Linked DNA regions of Drosophila melanogaster. The protein of the gene in region 1 interacts with the protein of each later gene in a pairwise test. Each region holds a gene or a part of one and is shown in the gene's direction. Other genes may lie near its edges. The genes, in order: Sec22, ECSIT, saturn and CG2694.

The links.
Region 2: the proteins of Sec22 (region 1) and ECSIT interact in a two-hybrid assay, tested with the Drosophila melanogaster proteins (one large-scale study listed by BioGRID).
Region 3: the proteins of Sec22 (region 1) and saturn interact in a two-hybrid assay, tested with the Drosophila melanogaster proteins (one large-scale study listed by BioGRID).
Region 4: the proteins of Sec22 (region 1) and CG2694 interact in a two-hybrid assay, tested with the Drosophila melanogaster proteins (one large-scale study listed by BioGRID).

The regions. Positions count from the first base shown.
Region 1 is NC_004354.4:804,152-808,717, forward strand, and holds Sec22 (secretory 22), read left to right. Parts: upstream 1-1,924; 5' UTR 1,925-2,333; coding exon 2,334-2,414; intron 2,415-2,481; coding exon 2,482-2,591; intron 2,592-2,817; coding exon 2,818-3,119; intron 3,120-3,202; coding exon 3,203-3,351; 3' UTR 3,352-4,049; downstream 4,050-4,566. Other genes in the region: CG13358 (uncharacterized protein), read right to left, coding at 1-746.
Region 2 is NT_033777.3:5,854,822-5,858,456, forward strand, and holds ECSIT (ECSIT), read left to right. Parts: upstream 1-1,763; 5' UTR 1,764-1,849; coding exon 1,850-3,079; 3' UTR 3,080-3,093; downstream 3,094-3,635. Other genes in the region: disp (dispatched), read right to left, coding at 1-530, 932-1,087; CG2017 (uncharacterized protein), read right to left, coding at 3,491-3,635. UniProt on the Drosophila melanogaster protein: As part of the MCIA complex, involved in the assembly of the mitochondrial complex I. Involved in the innate immune response; promotes the production of antibacterial peptides.
Region 3 is NT_037436.4:14,201,426-14,204,869, forward strand, and holds saturn (saturn), read left to right. Parts: upstream 1-1,897; 5' UTR 1,898-2,008; coding exon 2,009-2,227; intron 2,228-2,286; coding exon 2,287-2,784; 3' UTR 2,785-2,869; downstream 2,870-3,444.
Region 4 is NC_004354.4:2,712,360-2,718,154, forward strand, and holds CG2694 (uncharacterized protein), read left to right. Parts: upstream 1-1,719; 5' UTR 1,720-1,770; coding exon 1,771-1,851; coding exon of another isoform or gene 1,852-1,878; exon of another isoform or gene 1,879-1,928; coding exon 1,929-2,094; intron 2,095-2,151; coding exon 2,152-2,247; intron 2,248-2,417; coding exon 2,418-2,921; intron 2,922-2,978; coding exon 2,979-3,074; intron 3,075-3,154; coding exon 3,155-4,346; intron 4,347-4,406; coding exon 4,407-4,749; 3' UTR 4,750-5,295; downstream 5,296-5,795. Other genes in the region: CG2685 (uncharacterized protein), read right to left, coding at 1-911, 975-1,072, 1,137-1,262, 1,319-1,382; CG2701 (uncharacterized protein), read right to left, coding at 5,344-5,795.

The DNA.
Region 1 (4,566 bases):
GGTTTAATCTGCTGCCTGACAGGGGCAGTGCCCGCATCCACGCTGTCCAGGGTGTTCCTCACCACAAATTGCTGCCTGGGCTGTGAATTGGATTGCGGTCTCGTTCGAGCTCCTGGCATGGGCAAAAAGCGAAAGAGCCGGGTAGAGACGCCGTCATCATCTGTCACGTCATCGGTGGACAAATCATCTCCTCCAGCCCCTCCGACTCCGTTGGCAGACGGAACAGCACTATCAGCTTGTCCACCGGCAAGCGGAGTAAACACGGCAGCCAGACGCACAGGCACAAAGGCTGGGAGCCGCACTGTAATGGGAGTGCCGGAGGGCGGAACAGCCGGTGACGGGATTGCAACGGAGACTGGTATGGGTGTGGGTCGTGGCGGAGGAGGTGGTGGTGGTGGCAGTGGAGGCGGAGGAGGTCTACGTGTGCTGGCATCCGCTGGCGACGCAGTCGTTGTTGTGGCCGATTCCTCCTCGACCTCCTTCCAGGCCTCCAGCAGGGTCAGCAGCTCATCCTTGCTCATGTGGCCGAGACCAACGGGGCTGTAGGGCCACTCGCCCACTCCGAGTCCACTACCAACACTATTCCAGCCTAAAGAGGGCACTTGTTCCACTTGCTCTACGTGACCCAGCGGAGTCTCGAACAGGCTCCTTTGGGGACGTGTGAGGAGCAGCTGCTGACCAGCCAGCCCATTGCACAGGATCTGCATGAGGAGACCCAGGAGCGTCGCACGAACTGACCCGGCCATGACTGACTTTGTATTGTGGAGCCTCTAGGTGGAGCAGTGGCTTATATATACATACCTGCTTTCAACGGAACGAGGAAGGAGGCCAAGCCGAGCAAAACGGAAGCGCACGCATTCCGCTGCGGGTGATCCGATCACACGATGAGAAAATAGGTTGACCGCAGTCCTCGATGGGCTCAGAGTTAATTGAAATGCATTCGATTTAAGATCACAGTACAAGCATTTTAAATAATGTCATAAGCTTTCCCGCTTTGATCACAAACTTGTGTATATCTTAGCATTCTTCGGTATGAGCAGAAATGGGAATGGTTATTCGCATTCGCTTGCAGGGCTTCAATTCATAATATACATAGATGAATAAGTCGCATTCGATATGAATTATTTTCCCAGTGCAAAGATTTTTCCGGTGGTCGCTTGAAACGCACATTCGCACGCAGCTCCATCGCCAAGTACCACAGGTAGTCCATATAGTTGGGTCCCTGCCTCAAGTCCAAGTCCGGTTTCGCGGGCGAACCACTTTTCCTTCTGGGGATGGATGTGGATGTCCATGCAGAGGATGGTCTTCGCGGGCGAACCGGTTGGGCTTGGTCATCGACTTTTGGGGGGTCCAACCCACTTCCGGCATCTGCGCCAGCGGATTTGAGTCTGCGAAAGCGGCGCGACGTGCCAGGGATTTCGATTTATGTTGGTTAATAATTTAAATAAATATTTATTTATATTTAAATATTTGAAATAATATATTCGCAACTCGATTGCCAATATAAAAAATAAAAATACCAAAGACCAATTGGTCGGATTGGGACTCAAAACAGCTATAGAACAATGCATCTGGGCGCCAGGTTCATGGGTGAATCGAAGTATTGTACTTCTATTGAACTTCTGGGGATCCTTAATCCGCATCCTGTGTACAACACACGCATACAAAAAGCAAACTCCACATTACAGCAGAGCGCAAGCTGTCAAAGCTGTAGACCTGGGAAAATAGCTTTGCGGGAAAGCCCGGAAACTCGAAAGCGCCATTTTCAGGGGCATGCTGGCTTGAAAACGAGTTGAAAGCGTATTTCCATATCGTGCATTTAAAGAAACGAAGAAACGAATGGTATAATGGACTTCCGTTAATGTGACCGTTGGCGGTCGGTACTCTGAGATACTCTGCGGTATTCGGTATGCCTCGCACCATTCGGTATATTTACACGGACATACCGGTGACGTGGTTACATTGCAACAAACATCCACAGAAACCTCCAATCCACTCCAATCCCAGACACCCGCCCGCCGCGACGTTGCAACACAGTTTTCATGGTAGCAGCGAACGTTCCCGATTCGAGGCAGAGTCCATTTGGAAGTCCCGGGCATCGCAGGAGCACTGCGGCAAGCACCGACCGATCGGCTGAGTTGTGAAATCCAAGAAGTGGAAGAGGACGACCGGACACAAACTTCACACACTGGTGACTGGACTGCAGCGGATCCACATCGGAATAAGTAGCAGCCAGTGGAAGGAGGCGACGGCAGAGTGCAGCCGTGGCCAAGAAGACTTGAGACGCAGCCCCGTAGTTCCGCGAGCAATCGTAACCAGGAACAGCAGAAGCCATGGCGCTGCTGACCATGATAGCCAGGGTCATCGATGGCCTTCCTCTGGTGGGGACCATGCAGGATGACGAGCAGGTACCCGTGTGCATCACTTTCTAATACGTTGCATTCCGTTCCGCTCCCGCAACTAAGTCGCTTTCACTTTCAGAGCGGACGCAGCATACTGGACTACCAAAACCAGGCTAAGATGCTCTTCCGCAAGCTGGGTACCCACTCCCCGGCTCGATGCAGTATCGAGACCGGACCCTACCTATTCCAGTGAGTAGCCCCAATTCGTGGCACCTTTGCCAGGGCATAGACCATTAAAATCACACCATGTACAAAGGTTTCTCGGCTCCGCGGGTAGTCAGTGACAGTTGATTTAGTTTCGGAACAAAGAGTATAGATGTAATTTGATACGAAGTTAAATTAAACGCTCACTGCTTGCGAAAGCCAGAAGATGCAATGGGCGCCCCAATTAAAATATTCCACATTTTCCCTGCAGCTACCTAATCGAGAACGACGTCTGCTACCTGGTGATGGTGGACAAGATGTACTCAAAGCGACTGGCCTTCAATTACCTGGAGGACCTGGCCCAGGAGTTCCATGCTAACTACGGCCGGCGAGTAAACTCAGTGACTCGCCCATACGCATTCATCGAGTTTGACGTGTACATACAGAAGGCGAAAAAACAGTTGACGGACCGCAGACGCAACATCAGCAACATCAACACACAGCTGCAGGATGTGCAGCGCATCATGGTGCAAAACATTGACGACGTGCTCCAACGTGGCACAGTGCTGGCGGGTAACTACTACTACTACTATCTACGCGACTATCTACGCGTGATTGTGGGATTCAACTGACGTTCACCCCGTTTTTCCTTCCAGAACTCGACACCAAGACCCAGAACCTATCGATGATGTCACAGAAGTACAAGAAGGACGCCAAGCTGCTCAACCGAAAGTCCATGTACGTGAAGGCGATGGCCTTGGGCATGATACTTCTAGTGTTCATCATGTATTTCTGGGTTCTGTAATATCAAGCAGTTCCATGGCCACTCGGAGCGGCGCGTTCTTTGTTGGAGTCAAGCGTCAAGGACGCAAGACCAAAAGACATTTAGATTACGCGTGCACCTGTACTCCACGCCACCAACCACACCATATTCATTCATATCTATGAATCATAGGCAAGCGAAAAGTGAATAGCGAAACCCCCTACCAGCATACGCATCGCTCCCGAGGATTGTTTTACTTCTAATATTAACTTACCTTTGCGTTATTTACGGTCTGGGATTCCATTAATTATTAACTCCCATTTCATTTCGCCTCGCGCTTCCGTTGCGCAGGTTTTCTAAATATTTGATTACGAATCGGGTTTAGTTTAGACGACCTTTGAGCCAAGTCGGTTGACTACGACCCAAATCTGTAAATTATGAGCGTCGATCCGTGTGTGTGTGTATAAATGTCTAGATTGTAGATGGATCGCTGCATAGCGAATCCGAATCCGGCGGAGTGCTTGATACAAGCTGCAAAAACACCGCAAAAAACAAAAGAAAAAGAAAAGATAACAAGCGAACCGAAAGAAAAGAAAAGAAGAGAAAGGGAAATAAACAATAACAGTTTTAGGCAATTTATATGTGTAAAATTAAGGCAAATAAATAAATTTATATTGTTTAATAAAGAGAAGGCAAAACTGTGTTCGATGCACTACCCAAGCCCGAAAGATAGAAACTGCATCTGATTTTTGGTTTAGTTTTAATCGATAATTTCCCTTTATATATTTTTCGATTCACTGAGTGTGATGTGATACATTCGCCTTTATAGTTTATATCCACTTGCAAGCCTTCGAATTACGATTCTTCTCAATGAATTTCTCGATCTGATCCGATCCCGATCCCATTCGGTCTCATATCGTCCCGCTAAATGTCCGTTTTCGTTGCGTCTCAGCGCATATAAATTTGTAATATCAAATCTTTACAATTAGGAAAAAAATGCGCTGTTGCCATATACACTGCTATATCGTAATTTGGTGTGTATAGTTTTGTGAAATATCGAATCCGAATACATATATACGCTCTCTACATAACTACATATGAATGCATATGCTTTGTGGGGGGGGATGTGTGAAATGGTCTGCAATAATTAATTAACTGGGGAGAAGAGCAATCATCTACCGAATTTTGCAACCTCCTCTGGCTTCCGTGTACTAGGCTGTGGTTCTGCTGAAGCTCTGGTGGTGAGTGGGATCGAAA
Region 2 (3,635 bases), on another chromosome or scaffold:
TCGGTGGGCAAGGTGGCGGCTTGCTTTAGGAGCCGCCAAGTGCTCTTCTTGGTCTGCACCCGCTGCTGATGCTCTTCCTCGTCCACTGAGGTGGTGTTGTGGCCATATTCGATTTGCTCAGTGCGTCGCGTGGGTTCCAAAGAGGAGGAAGCGCTGTCGTTTGTAATCTCGTAGTCGCGAAATACTCCACTGTCCCCGATCCAGGTGTCAAAGCCGAGATTTGGAGAGGGAGAACTAGTAGCCTTCAGCCGTTTTTTGAACTGCATCATCTTCTGCGCCACATCGTGATGCTCGTGGCTGCTTTGATTTTGTTCCTTGCGTCGCTTGTTCTTGTTTCTGTTCTTGTGCTTGTTTTTGCGTCGCCTGTGATTCGGATGCAGCTTCGTCTCCACATAGCCCTGCTCTACCCGTCTCCTCTCCCACAGATCCGATGGATTTGAGAAAAGAGCACCATGGTGGTCAGTCTCTTGCAGCAGGTTGTACCAGGCCGTCAGTCGTTCTCCAATTTTGGTGCCGCGGGTTTCGAAGCCCTAAAGTGAAATAAATGTTGAATCATAAATATTAATCATGACAAATAATCACATTATAAAGTGATCAAATAAGTCATATTAGTGAGAAATTAATCTTATTATTTTCCACAATTTTTACAACAATAACATAATAACAATGAAAATATAATACAGGAATAGTTTGTATACAAGTAATCCTGTAGTTTCTTATAGCAATTCTGTGAATATTTAAAATATTTTAACTTCTTAATATTTAAAAAAAATAGATATATAACGAAATTTAAATAAAATAATATCATTTAGACATTTTCGGATTATTTCCATGTGCTCAATATTTTAAAAAATAATTGTAAAATAAGATAAGATATATTCTCCAAATATCAAGCAGTGAACATGTTTTGGACAAATCTAATAGGACAAACCAAGGTGGGATCACTGAAGTCCGGCAGCTTGTTCAGGACGAGGGCCACGATGATGCAAGCGACACAGTAGACAGCAATGGAGACGACCACCAGGTAGGGACGCCTGGCCAGGACGTGGTAGTACCAGTTCATCCTCTCCGAGTCGAAGCACAACATGTCAGTAGAATGTGATGCCCGAATCCTCTTTACCCTCTTCGCATTGCGGGAACATCAAATGCTCCTTGGGTTTCCGCTTCCCTTCAGTGCATCCTTGGCGGCTGGAAGTCTCGAATAACGTTGGGCTGGTGGGTGCTCCTTGGGACCAAGCCAAAGTCTATTGTTTTGCTTCTGTTATAGATACTGCCTGCTGGTCAGGCCTCCGCCGCAGAGATCGGCTTGTTGGATTGCATTTTTATGTAGGCGCGCGCCCGTGCAAATAACTCAGGGTTCGGAACTAACTTAAACAACAGAAAAACAACCGAAAACTATGCGAATAAGGATAACGCAGAAAACGGTGAAATAACAACAAAAAGCAGCACAAAGGATACACTGAGTTAATACAGTGTTGAGCAACTCAGTCACCAGTGATGATGGCCCTAAGCCAGACAAACAGCTGTTCTCCGAAGGAAGAGATTCGTGAAGGTAGTCACAATGAGCTTATGCAATATTCACTTCAACTTTTGTTACTAGCGTATGACTTTAAGCGTGTATTACGGTCATGACACTATTTAAGCTTGAAAATCTTTGGGTACAGCCGAAACTAAATACAATTTTTCGCCCTAGAATTTACCAAATTTGGCTAAATACGCTAGACTATCGGCACTATTAAAACATATGTTGCAGCAGCAGTGCTGCAAAACGCGAACTAGTTCCGCAGCTTGTGCAATGTTTTGTAATCGTATTTGCAAATTTATTCAATTAATTAATTATAAATAAAAAATGCTGCGCCGCGCACAATGCCTGCTCCGGCTGCACGGCAATGGAGGCCATTCGCTGGTCAGCCGCTTTCGAAACTACGCTACGGACGAGGGAAATCCGAAACAGAACCCGAATCCAAATCCCAGGGCACAAAAACCCGGCACCAAAAACCTGCCGGCTTTAAGGAACCCCTTTGCCGCCGCCCAGGACAGGACGAAAAACAGCTACCTGACCATGGTGGAGATATTCCAGGAGCGCGACGTCCACCGTCGGAACCATGTGGAGTTCATCTACGCGGCACTCAAGAATATGGCGGATTTCGGGGTGGAAAGAGACTTGGAGGTCTACAAGGCCCTGATCAACGTGATGCCCAAGGGCAAGTTCATACCCACCAACATGTTCCAGGCAGAGTTCATGCACTACCCCAAACAGCAGCAGTGTATCATTGATCTGCTTGAGCAGATGGAAGATTGCGGGGTGATGCCCGATCACGAGATGGAGGCGATGCTGCTTAATGTGTTTGGCAGGCAGGGACATCCACTGCGCAAGTATTGGCGCATGATGTACTGGATGCCAAAGTTTAAGAACCTATCACCGTGGCCACTGCCCGATCCTGTTCCGGATGATACATTGGAAATGGCCAAGCTGGCGCTAGAGCGGATGTGCACGGTCGACCTGCGGTCCAAAATCACGGTTTTCGAGACCAGCGAGCTGAAGGATGCCATTGACGATACGTGGATCGTGAGCGGAATGAGTCCCGAGCAGGAGAAACTGCTGCGGGAGCACTCTCGCCAGAAAGCTCTGTACATCGAGGGACCCTTTCACATATGGCTTAGGAATCGCCGGATCAACTACTTTACCCTGCGCGCTGATGCAGATTCTGAGTTCCTGTCTGAATTAGATGAGCGGCAGCTGGACGAGGACGATGTCTCCCACATCGAAGTACCCTTCTTTGGTCGTGCTCCACCAAGGCGACACAACCAGCTGGGAAAGCTGCGCTCTGTCCACCAACAGGACGACGGAACCATTATGGCCATCTGTGCCACAGGCACCTCCACAAAGGACTCATTGCTCTCGTGGATTCGCCTGTTGGAAGCGAACGGAAATCCCTCCATAGGAGAGGTGCCCGTCCTCTTCCGGTTCACATCCGAAGTGCCAGCCAAGGCGGAGGAAATTGAAGGTGGCGCCAGTGTCCCGGCAACAAGTGATAACAGTAGTCAAGATGAGCACATTAGCAGTAGACAGAAATAAACAAATTGTTGAGCACTTTTTCGTCTTTGTATACCATAGAATTGATGGTAAATGTTGCTTAAAGTTAGTCGGTTTTGATCATATGTACATATATATGTACATCTGCTAGAAGGAAAAAAATTAATACTTCGGTAATTATTTATACTCTTTGGCTCGGACGCGAATTGAAAGCAACATTGTATGCATTTTGGGGTGGATTTTAATGAAATAAGGTTAATTGAGAAGGATTACTCACAACATCCGATTGTGAGCCGAGCTTAAACGAAAAATCACAGAACCCGAAACTAAGTGTACAGAAGATCTGCCTAAGATTTAACGCCTCCCTCTAATTGCTAATTAAGTATATGTACATGTCATCTTTGTTTGAGATATATAGATATGTCATTGGAACTATCCATCTGGCCCGCTTCTCTACTTTATGCCTGTCTTGTTGACCGGAAACACCTGCGTGACAACTCCGATTCCTTTGCTGGTGCCCTCGCGGAACAGGATGCGCATTCCAGGACGCACGTACTCCGGGTGGCCGACGAACTCGAACATCACCGAAGCACAATCG
Region 3 (3,444 bases), on another chromosome or scaffold:
TTTTAAATAATTCTAAATAACTGCCTATATAAATATTTGGAAAATTAGGCGTAAATTTCATTCTATATATGAACTTATATAAAAGAAAATAAGATGATTAGAAAGATTGCTATATTGCTATGTTTCTATTGCGGTTAAAACTGAACCGAATAAGACTATTATTAGATATCCCAATTGATAAAAATTTTTCTTACAGCAATCCTGATAGTTTATCCCAGCGTCGTTGGGGATCCATGAGACAGTAAGCACCCTTGAATATAATTTCTTTCGGGGTTTCATGTAGAGCTTCATATAAATCATAACCCCCATTCTTGCTCCATTTTGGTTTTGGTTTTTTGATTTGTAAATAAAAATATTTATAATTTATCTTAATTAAAAAAATTATTGGTGCACTGCTCCTTAAAAAATATATATATATAGTTTTTAATTCAGTATTTGTCCTCATCACATTTGATGTTTTCACAAGCGTTTCCATGACTTCGCTTATCTAAGATTGTTAATTTCAGCTATAAGTTGCCTTTGGTTTTTTTCCCAATTTTCCATTAGCTGGTTTGCTCAATTGCTTGTTTTTCTTCTGCCTAAATTAGTTATCAGTTTTTCCCATCTTATTCGCCTGTTTCAATTGTTGTACAACTACATAGATGTTCAATTGGGCAATTTTCAAGAGCTTTCCTAACGCTGCCACCCCCAAAAACTAAAATTTATGATTATTGCCGGCGGGGGAGGCTGTCATAAAAGTTACAACCGAAAAAAAAATTGCTCTCTTTTCTGGGACTTAATTGCAACTGAAACCAAAACGAAAGTAAAATAAATATATCAGATTAACAGCATGAGATTTATGTTAGTACAATGAGAGAGCTCCAAGATGGAATCTGCTGCAATTTATATAACTTCCTTTGGCAGTTCTGCTTGTCAACTGGCGACCGTGCTTCCTGCTGCCATCTTCTTGAGCCAAAAGTAGTTTGGCCGCTTTTGTGAACTTTTCTCGGGGACCGAGCGAAAAGGTTGAAGGTAGAAGATGCGGGTCTTTTCTTGTCTCCCCTCAATTTAGCCAACTCCTTCCCTCTTGATGTGGCTTACAAGTTGGCTGACTCGATGGGGTTGTCATGCTGTTGGAATTTATTTTTTCGCTCATCCGATCGGAGGAAGTGAAGTGAGAGGGTTCCAGAAACAGGTTTAACTTGCCGCAATTGTTAACTCTTCAGAATTTAGGCCGGCACTTTTGTCAAGTCGCGAACAAAATTTGACCCAAAATAAAACTCAGTCTGCTGATGTTATCGATTCTGACACATTTATCTCGTATCGTTATGTACTGTTATATACTTTTGATCATTTTGATCATTAAACTAAGGCTGTAATAGTTAGATCATTACTAGAGCATCGATCAATATCGATTAGCATTTCAATTATTAAACAAATTTTTTTCATAAACATTTCTTCGAAAATTATGCACGAAATCGGATAAAGTAATTAAAATCGTCTGCATTTAAGGCGTGTGCAAATCAGTTAACCCCACGCAGGCTATAAATTGTGGTTGCTCTGTCAACTTTCCGGACCTTGATGTTCTTCCCATGGCTTCTACTCTTTTCGAAGCAACTACAACTTGGGCCGACTTGAATTTGTCATGCAAATGCCTTTGTTTTTGCTCCGCTGCTGGGAACATGTTTTTCCCACTCTCTGCACTTGGCATTCAAAAAAGCTGCACTGGGAAATGGTGGGGGAAAATGCATTAAAGAACCGAGAACAATTAGGGAAAATTGTGGGAAGAGGTTAAAGATTTTTATCTGAAAAAGGAAAGGGAATGAGTGGAATTCTACAATTATTTTCTTTAAAAGAACGAATATTTTTCCACATAGGAACATTTTAAATGTTGTCATTTGAATTCAGTCTAGCAAGCAAAGAAAATACTTTTCAAATCACATTATAAAAGTGATAACATCACCGGTTGGTTATCCGTTTTAATACAACCTAAATTACAGATAGAAACTAACAAAAAGTCAGGCCCAAAATGTGGAACTATCGTCAGAAAGTTGATTTGGAAACATCGGTAAAGATATCGCCGTATTGCAATTCTTGGCCATCGGCTTGTTGGTTTACTCTTAAAGGCATTGATTTGTTGAAACTTCTGGTATTGGAAAGATCACCAACTTACCTGGTGATTCTTACGATTGTCCTTATCGTACTCCTCTTACTTGTATTTAAAAGATTCAAACACAAATGGAACGATGTAAGTTAAAGGGGGGGGAAAACGTACAGTAGAAGGGGCTTAATAGGGTTTTGTTCTAGGTGCCTATGTCGGAGATTGAGTCACTGAGAAAACGTGTTAAGTTTGTAACCAAGGATATGGCCATGCTGCAAGAAGCCCTAAATTCGACCGTAATACCCAAGCCGCCGCTAGCGATTTCTGATGATATTAGGAGTAATATTAATTACTTGGATGAACCAGAGTCCAACGCAAATGATGACAAACTTTCAGAATTTAAAGAAATCTTTGATCCTTTCCCCCCAGAATTCGACAAAATTAGTGAAACTAAAGCGCTAGTACGAGAAGAAAATAAACCGGAGCCTGTGATTCCAGACGCCGAACCTCGAGAAGATTCCGTAGTAAAAAATAGGGTGCGATTTGCTCTAACAGATCAGGGAAAACCAGCCAAAGATGAGACCAAGCACATTAATATAGCGAAACCCACGAAGATTATAGCTGAAAATAATGTATCCGTGGAAAATAGAAATATGCGTAAACGGTCATCTCCTTCAAACACGAAAACGGGATGGAAGCTCTAGATCTATTTTCAGGAATTTTCATATTGAAATTTCATTAAAATTGTAGTGCTCGAATTTGTAATAAACCATTCATAGTGATTTGTATAAAACTTGTTGTGATCGTAATTCATTATAGCCCTATGCCAACCTTGACATCTTGCCTTCGCAAGCGTTTTGGCTTTAAGTGATTTCCAATTGTCTTTCGTGGTAATTTTCACCTATTTCATTGTGTATCTCTGTTTTCCCGTGCATAGTTCCCAAGTCTACGTGGTTGGCCCTCAATTAGCCTTAAAGGTGGCCGGCTGCCTAATCGAGGCAGTTTCCAAGCCACTTTGCGGGGGCCCAACATTGTTTGGCAGTTGGCTTGCATTTCTTGGCTATTTGGCAGACCTGGCGACAATTTCCCGTTTTTTTCCCCCTGCATGTATTTGAATTATTTGGCAGCTGAAAACGGCTTGAAAGTACGTCTGTCGCCAATTTGGCTTCGGTTTTAGGTAATTGCCATCTATCTAATAGGTACATGAGAATGTTTATTGTTGGCCAGATTTGTAGATGTTGCATAGTTTTAGTTTTTAGTATCGCCGAACAACATGTTGGCAGCAAACAAGTTGCATGGGAAAGTGTATGGGATTGTAAAAGAGTTGCCAGATAAAAAAGAAAAACAGTACCATCATCAAAGAC
Region 4 (5,795 bases), 1.9 Mb from region 1:
GGCCCAAGATTAGGAATTGGCGGTAGGTGTGGCAGCTGTGGCGGCGCAGGCACAGACGACGCTGGTGGCAGCGGAATAGTCGGCAATGTGGGCGCTGTCGGAGGAGCTGGCGCGGGTGTCGCTGTAGATGATTTGACTGATGCTGGCTTGGTCGGCACTTCGGGCATATTTTCATCCTCATCCTGGTCATCGTCGTCCTCATCGTCCGTACTGCTGGCGGTTCTCTTATCGGAGTCAGATGTTCGTTCCTCTATCTTATCTATATCTTTCCCATCGTCCTCCTCCCGCTTTTTGTCGGCCTCGTCCTCTTTAGCCGCCAGTTTTCGATGCTTACGCTTGTGCACATGCTCCATTTCCTTCATGAAGTCGTCGATATTTTGGTTATTTGGCTCGGTGGCCTCGCTGTTCTTGTCCTTCTCTTTATCCTTGCCCTTCTTCAATGGCTCTGGCTCCTCCTCCTCGCCCTCACCATCGTAGTCAGTATTTCCCTCGGCATCGGAATTGAGTTCGGAAAAGGCAAACAGATCTGGCGGCGGTCCCGGCGGGACACCCAGCCAATCCTTTTGCTCGTTCTCCTTCGATTTCTCCACTTGCGCCTCGCTGGCTAAATCGCTATTTCTGGACACGCCTGGTGGAGCGCCTGGAGCATAAGGCGGCAGTGCCATTGTCATGGGCGGTGGGGGAAGGCGTATGACAACGGATGCGCCGAATCCCGCAACCACCGATCCGCCAGTCGTTTCGGTAGAACCGCCTGACACGGCAGACACCGGAGCGGGCAGTGGAATTTCGTCAATCTGGACGCTCTGGGCGTGCTTAACGCTTTCGTAGTACTGCTGCTTCTTCAGGCGCTTCTTCTCATACTCCACCTCCTTGCGCTTGAGGTCCGCCCAGTGCTCCGGCTCGTCATTGTGCTGGAAGATGGATATTTCAGTTGTTAGGTGGACTACACTATTATCGTGCCGAGTTGGTCTTACATAGAGTCGCATTACGCGGTCGAATGTTTCCTTCAGCTTTTTGCGCTTGTCGCGCAGCACCTTCTCGTTCAGCGGCGATGGTTGCAGAACGTTGTACTCTGCAAATTGTAGACGCTGCATGAGTGGCTGACGCGAATCCTGCAGGCTCGATGGACTACTCACCCATCTCGTCGATCTTCTCCATCTCCTCAAGTATCTGTGAAGGATCCTTGTTCTTCAAAACGGCGGCCCGCACCATTTGGCGCTGTTTCTTGTTCTTCTTGAGCTCCTTCTTGCGGGCCTCCTTGCCTGAAAGGTGCAGCATGGTGGATTCAACATATCGAGCTAAAAAGGATCATACTTACGCGCCTGGTCCGTGGGATTCATGTACTTTCCACTCTTCGTGGTGTTTATGGAGCGGCGTCCCATCTTGCTGGCTATTTCTTGTTGCTGCAACTAAACGAATGACTTCACCTAAACGCCGGCGCTGCAATATTGTTACCGGCGTTTTTTTCCTGCCCAACGTCCTAATTTGCTTTTATAATATCACTTTCAATTGATTTATTTATATTTTTATTTATTTATTCGTTTGCAGCTCGATAGGCCGATACACGCGCAGGCTGATATCGATAAAAACAGAACAGTAAGCACTAGAGCTCGAAGTGTGACCAACAAAATTTGGCGGGGAATAGCTAACATCCCATACGCTCAAAAGTTTTCTCCGATGTTTTTCATCACTAGCCAGGATTAGAAAAACGATAGACGATTATTACCGCCACATAGGTAACGCGGCAACAGACGCGAAATTGCCAGTACGATGGCATTCGAGAGCTCTGCACAGCAGTTAAAGATTCCGGACGAAAGGATGAATGCACAGTTGAACAATAGTGGCGTACAGGTAGGATGTGAACCAGTCGCCAGCCAGGTCAGTCAATCCTAAGCCCATTTGGTTGATTTCATGTAACCGCGTGCAAGGCGTCGCAATCCCATGTCCTATTCACACCCAATCAGATACCGGGCGCGCTGATAAGGATTTCAGACGATTTCCTTACCTCCACGCCGGGAGAGGGCCAGAAGGACGTGCCCACCACGGAGAGCACAAAATTGCAGAACCTGCACAGCCGCAAGCTGTGGGACATAGGTAATAACAATGTTATCTACTTGACACCTGCATTTTCATTTCGTTTTCATGATGCAGGTCCTGGTTCCATTCATGGCGAGGGGAAGACACCGAAGTTGGCCGTGAAGCGTCTCTGGCCAGGCTGCGGGGACGACGAGCCGAACGCCAAAAAAGGTAAGTGGGTCTGGTTATGGGAATATGGGATATCGGGCAGCCCAAGCTAAATTCATGCAGGCAACTAGCTGTGCTTGTGCTTTTTAAGTCATCCCAATAACCGGCCTCAAACTTTCCCGCTATCAGTCAACATTGCCGTTTACAGAGCTTCTCGTGCCGTTGTTTTTCAGCACTGGCATTCGAGCAATTTGTGTCGATATACGATAGGAAAATAACGCCGCTACCTCAAATCGAAAAAAGTCAAAGCCGCAAACAAAATAACGAATTCGATTTCGCATTCGAAATGTCCGCGAAGCCAAGTGCCAATTCGGAGGACATCCTTCTGGCCGGCCTGCTCCAGGACTGGAAACTAGAGGACCATGACAACGCACAGATTGGCTGCGACCCAGCGCCCATGCCGGCCAGTCAATCCGAATTGGCACTGGTTCATTTGAAGTTGCCGTGCAAGACGCCCCAATCCCAGCCCCAGGTGGAAGCCCATCAAAATGCTTCAGTTGCGACCGTCAACAGCGACAGCGGAAGCATAATACTAGTGTCCGATGATTCCTCAGCTACGGCGTGCAGCTTCCTTCACTCGTCCGAGCTCTGTAACTCCTCCGACTTCGAAGAACTGCGCAAGGAGTTCACCGAGGACTCCTCATACATCGATCTCTCACTTGATTCGGGCAGCAGCAGTGAGTGCCGATCAATCAGTAATAACAATAATAATTATAACACTGCGAATGCAATAGATCCTAGTGCCATTGAAACCGACATGAAGACACACAAACTGGGCGCGAAGCGCAGATCGCCGCAGACCAAGGGCGATGTGTTGGCCAAAAAGATTTGTGAGTAAGAGGTCGAATTGATCTGCAACCTTAGGGGCACCTGCTCTAGCTAAACCATTTACTAAATTGCTACTACGCAGCTTACCAGAATCTGAACGAGATGAACATCTCCTCGAATCAACCCGTGGTGACGCGCAGTGGTCGTGTTGTGGTCTCACGTCCGAACCAGCAGTTTGACTACTCCTCCTCCTCCCAGTCGAAGGGCGATGGCGAGGAGGACTCCGACGAGGTGTCACTGGATGCCGACGACGATGAGTATGAGGGAGAAGATTTCGATCAGCTCAAGTGGACGGAGCGCAAACGGCGTAGCTTTAGAAACACCAGCTTAGCCTTCAGCCCCGATGGCAGCCGCTCGTCGCCGGAGGCAACACCTCCGATGGTCTATGTCGAATTGGGCGGCAAAATCGTGATCATTAGGGATAAACCACAGCCCAATATCGTTCTGGAAGACGATAAGGAACTCAAGACGCAGATGCACAAGTTTTTGGGTCTGATTCCATCACGTCGCAAGCTCTTCGATCCGTCGGAATACAATATGGATCGGGGGGATATTGAGATGGATGTGTACGTACCGACCAGTCTTGTTACCAATCCATCACCTAGGTCCTCACCAAGCCCAGTTACTCCATCGGCCAGGTCACGAATATGGCAGGAAACAACGCCGACATCCATTTGCTCCAACTTGAATTTATCGCATACCTACACACCGACCGTGAATGAGCTCCAGACTAAGCACATGGATGACTCTATAATCCAGGTGAATTTGGACTGCTTTCAGAAGAAAACACCAGACTCTGTCAAGGAGCCCATTGATCTAAGCGAGCTTCCCAGCCAAAAGCAACTAGCCACCAACTGCCGCCGCCACAAGAGCTGTGTAGCCCGCCTGGAGCGGCACCCACATTTCTACGGTTTCGTCCAGTCGCTCAGACCGTCAGTCTCGCTCAACATGTGCCATCCGCTGGCCCTCACCTTCCGGCGGACCAATTTCCAGCAATCTAAGGTGGCACTGGCCAAGGTTCTGTTCAACATGTTCAATCACGCGGTCTTCCACTGTGGCCTGCAGGTGCCCATTGTTTGGAAGCACGCAATGAAGAAGCGCTGGAAATGCGAGCTTGGCTTCGACGCCTCCGGCAGGCGCACAGCACAGATCCTGCTTCTGCACAGCATAGACACTGCGGCCGAGCTTATCTATCTCCTGCTGCACGAGATGTGCCATGTGGCGGCTTTCCTGTTCAACCGGGAGTTGGGTCACGGCGACAACTGCCGCAGATGGTAAGATCATTACTTTCTATACATTTAATGTGTCATCACTTATCTGTGCCCATTCCTCAGGACCTACCAGGCGAAGATGGCCTTTCCGGAGGTGCCCGCCCTCATGGAGTGCATAGCTAGCTTCATGTATACGTGCAGCATGTGCAGCCGTTCCTCCTACGGCTTGGCCGACTTGAAATCGTACAACATACGCTGCTACTACTGCCAGTTCGAGGTGAGCGTGAAGCCCGTTAGCAAGGCGAACATGCACGAGGGCGCCCGTTCCGATCGGACGATGACACCGTTCAAGTGTTTCATCCGTGACAAGTATTTGAAGCTGGGCGCGGAGGGGGGCGTCACACACTCCTCGAAGATGGCGCTACTCAACGAAATGTTCGCGAAGATGACAGCCGCCACGGAATAGCTGGCAGCTGTCTAGCGGCTAGCACACAACTTGAAGAATATATTTTATAAGTACTATATGAACAACCATGGAAGGCGGCCCCATCAAAATGGAGCAGCCTCCAGTGAAAACGAACACGCTGTGACCTACTTTATATACCTACCTACATTTTATACAAACTTCTATAACCTGTACAATGGCGCTATATGGGATGGGGGGCTCCACGGAGCCCCAGAATCCCGAGAAGGCGTTCGTCAGCTAGTCTACGTGTTAACTAGTATATACTTTTATGTTTAACTAACAAATTACATGTGAATACTACTACAGTAAGTCTCGTCGGAACGCTGGTGGCTATTGAAATAGCATGTCGCTGTTTTTTTTCTACGGAATCAAATGAGAAATCAAAACAATTTAATATGAGAAACCATCATAGTCGCATGTTTGAAGAAATGGAAGGCATTGTTTGTTTGTTTTTGTGAGAATTTTCTGTTTGCCAACTTCTTGTTAATGGCACCCCAAAAATGAAAACGACAATTATACAAATGCAAATACAGATACACCAATTTTAGATAATTTTATTTCAATCTAAATCCCCTCTATCGAGCTGCGCTGCGCCTAACCCATCATGCCCTTGCTGCGCTTGAAGGCTGCTCCTGCCTTGCGATTATGATTGGCACGAGTGGACTTGTGGGCCTCCTTTTGGCCACGACTGCGCTGCGTCTGCTGGGACTGCCCCTGGCCCTTGGGTGCTCCGACCACAGAGGGACTCGCTCCATGTCCACCACTCTTTTGGCCGTATTTGGATAACTGGCGCTGCTCGTAGCGGGCGCGTATCACCTCTGGATTCTCGCAAAAGTCTCTGTTGGTGCGCATCGACGGCTCCGGGTCCGAATGGCCGCCGGAGCTCTCCTCGTCGTCGTTCTCCAGCTCATCCTGTGCGTTGTACGCCGAACTGGAGGCGGCTTCCTGGAGCCTTCCGCGCAGCAGACTCACAGGCGGCGCTTGACCCTCGTTTTGAGCCTCGTAGCTGTCGTCGTACTCGTCGTCATACTCGCCCCTCTCGAGCG